Drosophila melanogaster: one gene and its partner. The protein of the gene in region 1 interacts with the protein of each later gene in a pairwise test. Each region holds a gene or a part of one and is shown on either strand. Other genes may lie near its edges.

Region 1 (3,314 bases):
CTTTAAAACCAGGTCCATTGGTCGAAGAGCAATAGTATTCGCCCATCTCAGCATCAAGTACGGCAGTAAATCCCAAGGTGATACCAGTGCCTATAGTACATATTTGAAATACTCTATTCATTAACGATTCTCTGATATTTTACCACTAGCGGTGGCTGGATAGAACTTGGGGGGCAATTGTTCCGGATATCCTGACTCCGGATCCCACATAACACTTTCAAACCCATCAGAGTTCGTCAAGTTCCGGTTGTTATTTGCACTGTCAAAACAATAAATCAATTATTTTAATTTAATGAACCCATCTAGTTACAATGGCTTGTAGAGATATTCCGGTGGTTGAAAATTGAAGACGCAACACAGGCCCTCATCCGTCAGGATCTGCTGAAACAGTTGCGAACAGTTTCGCTCCACGGCACTGAATCTACAAAAAAGCAACATTCTCTCGCAGGACTGCGAGTGATTTGAAACAAATTCGGATATCTTCAGGTTGTTCGTGACAAAATTCGAAGCGGAGAACTCCTCATCAGCCTCACTGGATTCCCAGCTATCCGATTCACATAATAGCTTCAGAAGGGCACTTTCATTGGAGCCCCTGGAACATAATTTAATTTCAAAATGATGGATGGACGATTGCCTTAGAGGAAAACCGAACTTACTCTCTGTAATTGGCTACCAGACTCCTCTGCACCTGGTTCATATTGCATATGGTTATTGCCGGAAAAGGAACCTTCAAAATGGAGGTGGCCTGTGGGCTGATGCCGATTATAACCGGCGTGCTATCCCACTTCACATAGATGTTCGATATGAGGTGCACCGTGATGATGAGGGCGGTGACAAAGGAGCCAAGGAAAAACGATCTAAAAAGGGTTTTGCAAATGTAGCTCAAAATCCGCACTTGGATGTGCTCCTTTCCCACCTCTCCCAGCTACTCAGGCCGGAATCGCCCACAAACTTGAGTCCATGCAGACTAGTCTGGTTGAGGAACTGCCGCAGACTCCTGACGAAGCTCTTCAGCAGAAATAACGAGGATCCCTGCCTTTCCGTTCCGGCTGACGGCGACGGTTCCATAGCGAACTGTTTACTTAATGACCCTTGACACCTGCATAAATACTTGATATCGCAAGCAATCAGGTGTCGGCACACTTATTAAAGAGGCATGTAATTAAGGTTTTACCCCGATTACGGCGGCATTCGAAGGAGTGAATCCTTTCAAGTTAATTAAATTCTCAATGCTGGCTTGCCGTTGGCGTTTAAATGTATATGTATGTATTCATGGCACACGCCATCAAGCATACGACGTGTGGCCCGTCTTGATAACATGTATAAGTGCATGGCCGCAGTTTTACACCACCCCGCGCTTGATATCAAACTTTAATTCGGTTAGCTTTGGAGTTTATCAAATTATATTGAACTCGGGTTCAATGAATCACATTCAATCATACTGAACGCAAACTTTTCGCCGCAAAAACATAGAAAGCGAGCTTTTTACCGGCGACCCATTAGCTTTGGCCTCGAAAGCTTGATAAAATAAAGCTCAACCGCACGTGATGTTACAGCAACCGGTTATCAAGTTAGTTCTCTTTCTGACATATCGGAGATCGGTGCCTATTTATTTACCTTAGTAGCACAGATCATGAGAATCCGGAGCAACCCAATGCCCAGCCGGATGGTGGACATCTTGTGCTTCCTCATCATTGCGGTCTTTCTCCCGGTGGTGTTTATGTTCGAGATTGTGGTGGTGCTGCCTGCCTTCCATGAACCGGGTGGCTTCTTCCACACCTTCACCTTTCTTATGGCCATGTTCCTGGTGTTTAACATCAAGGGAAACATGATTGCCTGCATGATGATTGACACAAGTGTAAATGGTAAGTCGCAGCAGGTCTTATAATAAATCCGATAAAATGCATATCCCATTTCCAGTGAAAAAGGTGGAACCACCATCGGATCAGTTGAATTGGCGTGAGTGCGGCGAGTGCCAGAAGCTAGCACCACCCAGATCTTGGCATTGCAAGGCCTGCAAAGTGTGCATTCTGAAGCGGGATCACCACTGTATCTACACCGGCTGCTGCATTGGACTCAGAAACCATCGCTTCTTCATGGGCTTTATATTCTATCTCTTCGTGGGATCAGTTTACGCACTGGTGTACAACTCCATATACATGTGGGTCATCCACGGCCACATCTACAGCAACTGGGTGACGGTGTTAAAACTCGCCTGCCCCATGTTACACCTGGTAACGGGCAGTTTTTGGACCAACATGTACCTGGTCTTCTACAGCTTAAATATTTTAGCTCTGGCTTATGGAGTCCTCCTCCTGGCCTACCATGTGCCCATTGTTTTAAGGGGCGGTGTTTCCGCCGATCGCACTAAGGAGAGCAAAGAAAAGTACGACAGAGGAGTGTATCAAAATCTAAGGAGCGTTTTTGGAAACCGCATGCATTTAGCGTGGCTGTCCCCACTGATTCGCAGCGATCTGCCGGAAGACGGATACCACTGGAATGTCCCTACGAACAAACAAGACTAAGACTGATTAGGATCTAGGATAAATATCTGCTGTGCAGTTCCTACCTGGGGATCCCGTAAATGACTACTGTGACTTTGGCAACCTCTGGCTGGTTAAATGTTAGTCTTAAGATAGTGAAGTTGTAACCAATACCGCCGGACAGAACGGACGCCTGGCCTTTCCATTCCATTTCACTTTCATCGATGACCAATATCATGTTTATATGAAAGCACATGCTACCCTGTACAAAAATACCTAAGAGATCTTCCACTTTATTTAAAGTAATATATTTAAAATACCTTTTGTGTGTACTTCACGTCTACGAAATCCACAAATTCAGTGGTGAATATTTCAGTCTCATATATGGGAACAGCTAGAAAGTGCAGCATGCCAAATTGTACGGAGTGGCATGCAACTTCTGCATAAGCAAGTATTGCCAGCAGCAACAGACCACACGTATTGGCCATTTCTAAAAACTAAACCCATCATTCTTTGTTACCACACCTGCGCGGCCAATTGTCCCCGTCTATAACTGATTTGATGACTAGACAAGCAAACATAGATTGATAACAAAAATAATATTTTTTATTGATCTATCAAAGCTTTCTTTGATGGACCCGCCTCCACTCTCCGTATAACCGACTTGCACTCCTCGTTGCGGAAGACCCGATGGTAGGAGGTTATCTTGCCCAGAGACGAAACGAAATTCTCGTCGTGAGTGATGATGATGAGCATAAAGTTGGACTGGCTTTGGCGCTCCTCCACGATGCAATTCAGGGCTTCACATAGCGAGTTTATATTGGCGCGATC
Region 2 (3,658 bases), on another chromosome or scaffold:
GATTCAATATATATGTGTTTTATTAGGTCCGCACATCAATGATCACAGGCTGCCCACCTGGCTGTAAACTCTTGTAAAGATGTGACTTCCTCTAGCAAAGTTATCCAAATACGGCGTGCTGGCCAGCGTATCGCCATAAGCTCCAATAACTGGACGCAGATCATCAAAGATCACCATCACCACATTCGGCCGTCGTGGCGGAGCAGCTGCGTCCAGCAGCACTGGCATCATCAGCGAGAGCAGGAGACGAGCAGTGATCATGTCTACGGCGAAGGAAGCTCACAACTGTTGACTCGAAGATGCCGACACGGCGGATGTGGATGCCGGCGAATTTGTTGTGCTACCCTGTGCCCATGAAATCTGATAAGGGGGTATATCAGCGGCTCATACATTTGGTTTTATAAAAATTTTGAAAATCAAGTAATCTATATATATTCAAAAATTCAAATATCTAAAATATGGCGTTTTGAAGGGTTTTTCTTTTAATCTCCTGATGCATTTGAAGGGTATATTTATGTCATTCCCAAATTCATTTAAAACACTTCACTTGTTTACTGTTTTGCGCGGTAAAGTCCAAAGAGCATGGAGAAGAGAAATCGGACGGGCGGCGCAATTCAAAACCGCCCTCCATTATATTTCAATTGAATTTAACGGAAGCGCGCCTCGTCGACGCTTACAGTGCACATTTTACAAGTACAGTAAAAGTTCTATAATCACGAAATGCAACAGTGGGTCAAATTATTCACAAATCAAGAACTAATGAAGTTTTGTACAACCTAGTTCATATCTAAAACCGTCCAAGTCATTATATCTGCGTACCATTACTCTAAGATATAATAAACATGTTGTAAACCTTTTATTTAAATATATAAATATTTTTTCTTTTGTTTGCAGTTTAAAACTTATGTTACTTAAAATCCTTGTAAAAAGCCAAATCACTATTCAATTGGAAAACATGTTCAACTGATTTTTTTTAGCATTTTTTTCATAACTGGGCTTACTGATTTGAATTCGAGTTTAGCATATTTCACTGTACATGACCATTCTCCGGACAGGGACTGGAATGGAATCGGGGGCATTCCGCAGGCTGGCATGAATAATATTTACACATAGTATATAATGATTTGCGAGCTAACGATTAACAATAACAAAAATATTGGTGCTTTGTGATAGTCACCCACCGCGAAAGCCTAATAGGGATCAACTTTTAGCGTTTCTTTATGGATAATTTCTGGGTAATCCCCTCTAGAAAACCGTTCCGCAGTTGGAACAGCGCTTCTCACGCATGGCCAAGCAACAGAGAATTCCCAGCGGGAAGAAGAAGATTGCGCAGCACAGTCCGCAGGCGGAGAAGGTGTCCTCCAGGTATCCAATCCGACATGCAGGGCATCCTCCAATCACGATGATCTCGGTGGGCATAGCGACCGGAGCAGGCTGAATCACCACGCTGACCGGCGTCGTCTCGAAAGCTCCGTAGGTTGGCATGTGCATGTTTGGTGGCGGAGCACTAGGTGCTCCCTGATGCACGCCCACTATCAGCCGGGAATCTAAAAAAGATGTGCATTGAATTGGATGCCTTTAGTGAGCCTATTACTTACCCTGCGAGGGACTGTTCATGACTTCTTCGTAGCTCGGCGGCGCGGCGTCTTTACGGGTATCTGCCATTGTGGCCGGAAAGCTTTTTTTTGTGACTCACTGCTTCTTGTTATGAAAATAGTCTAGGCTTTTTTACTACGTTTAATTGCGTTAACTTTTTCTCTGCGTTTTCTTTGTTTTGCCGCAATCAGTTATCGTTGCAACAGCTGACTGCGACTATTCTATCGATTGGTAATCGTGGTCGCGGGAGTACATATCGTAAATCAGTAGTTTGAATTTGAGCAAAGAATTCTACGATTTAACATCTTAAAATACATTTATTTATGCAAAACTAACAAATGCAACTGCACATACATCTTGTTCTATAAGAACCTATAAGCAAACTTATAGTAGCCATCTATTTGGCTTTGAGTGAGCGAGGATTTCTGCTTGGTCAGAACTTTTTCAAAGTCTTGTAGCTCAATTTCCGTGGCCTTAAAGTCACGTTGAAAAGCCTCGATAGCCGCCTCATTGCAGAGATTACACAGATCCGCTCCAGAATACCGGTCTGTTCGGGCAGCAATCTCCTGGAGAAACACATTTTCATGGAAAGGCATGCGCTGGGAGTGGAGTTTTAGCAGAGCCAGGCGGGATTTCTCATCTGGGGCTGGTACATGGATAAGCTTGTCAAAGCGTCCTGGTCGCAGTAGGGCATCATCGATCATATCCGGTCGATTGGTGGCTGCAACGACAAGTATATGTTGCTGACTACCACCCCCCACAATGCCATTCATTTCGGTCAACAGCGTGGAGAGAATCCTCAGCTGAACTTGTCCACCACCTCCGCCACTTGAGACCGTCCTTCTGCCAACAAGCGAATCTATAAAATTAAGTGGATTAATCATTTTTATGGCAAATTAAGCTTATCCGACTCACCTATCTCATCTAGAAATATAAGACAGGGTGCATTTTTTCGCGCTGTGTCAAAGATTCGCGATATAAATCTTTCCGCGCAACCGACGTAGGGAGAGTACACCTCCGCCGCCGACGTAGCAATGAAGGTCATGTCAGCTTCCTTGGCCAGGCACTTGGCTACGGTGGTCTTGGCACATCCTGGAGGTCCATAGAGCAGCACTCCTTTGGGCAAACTTAGTCCGAATCGAGCAAAAGCGGCACTTTGTCTTATACCCGCTAGAACGGAGACTTGCAAGGTACGTTTCAGTGCTTCCATGCCTCCGATAACCTCAAACCCAGCCGTCATCTTCGAGACCCGCACATCTGTGGATCGAGATGCACTCGGTTGAGTTTGTGACAGGGATTTGAGGAAAATGTGCTCTATGTCGAAGTCGTCTTTTGTTAAGAGTTGCTGTTGAACGCGGCGCAGGAGTAGTGTTAAATCCGCTATCACATATCCCTGAGTGTTTCTCGCTATATGCTCGAGTAAAGTCTGTGAGATATTCAGCTCGTGTACTTCGCAGAGATGCTCTACGAGTTGTCTGCGCTGCCCTTCGCTGGGCATATTAATGGTCACCTCTCGGACGAACCGCCTGCGCGCATGTTCATGCAAGGAGTCCGGGACACCAGAAGTTGCCAGACATATGATGCCTCGAGGAAGTGCGTCTAGCAGTTTGTAGAGCTCAGCTGAAATTCGTAGGCTATTGCTAGAGTTTTTTGCATCTGCGACAGCCGTTGAGGGGCAGAGCAGCTCCAGATCCTCAATGAGGATTACAATTGGCACTATAAATATAAAACTAATTAATATTTCAAACGTAAAACAAACACTGTGAAAATTACATAATGGACGTAGTTTCTCCTTGAAAGTCTGAGCAGCCTGAAAGATCCTCCTCAACTCCTCTTCGGTTTCGCCGGGATATGAGCGCAGCACCTGGCTGGCTGTAATGTAAAAACAGTTGCAGCTATGACGACGCAGGAACTCACTGAGTAGACCACTTTTTCCACAGTCCACCGGACCCACAACCAATGCTGTAGTAGGAAATCTATGCGAAAAGCTGATTTTAGAGGTTTCCAGGAGCTTCTCCAACTGCTCCATGGGTCGCTCGAAGCTGTGTGGCAAATACTTGAA

What was found. The genes of interacting proteins can lie anywhere in the genome.
Region 2: the proteins of CG10344 (region 1) and CG12012 interact in a two-hybrid assay, tested with the Drosophila melanogaster proteins (one large-scale study listed by BioGRID).

Annotation. Positions count from the first base shown.
Region 1 is NT_033778.4:22,425,233-22,428,546, reverse strand, and holds CG10344 (uncharacterized protein), read left to right. Parts: upstream 1-1,569; 5' UTR 1,570-1,633; coding exon 1,634-1,865; intron 1,866-1,920; coding exon 1,921-2,525; 3' UTR 2,526-2,565; coding exon of another isoform or gene 2,566-2,745; 3' UTR 2,746-2,803; downstream 2,804-3,314. Other genes in the region: ppk12 (pickpocket 12), read right to left, coding at 2-90, 144-259, 311-592, 657-857, 917-1,068; CG46442 (uncharacterized protein), read right to left, coding at 2,566-2,745, 2,804-2,971; rad50, read right to left, coding at 3,090-3,314.
Region 2 is NT_037436.4:3,374,888-3,378,545, reverse strand, and holds CG12012 (uncharacterized protein), read right to left. Parts: upstream 1,790-3,658; 5' UTR 1,666-1,789; coding exon 1,599-1,665; exon of another isoform or gene 1,548-1,598; coding exon 1,246-1,547; 3' UTR 554-1,245; downstream 1-553. Other genes in the region: Ids (iduronate 2-sulfatase), read right to left, coding at 58-261; CG12010 (uncharacterized protein), read right to left, coding at 1,959-2,455, 2,512-3,312, 3,370-3,658.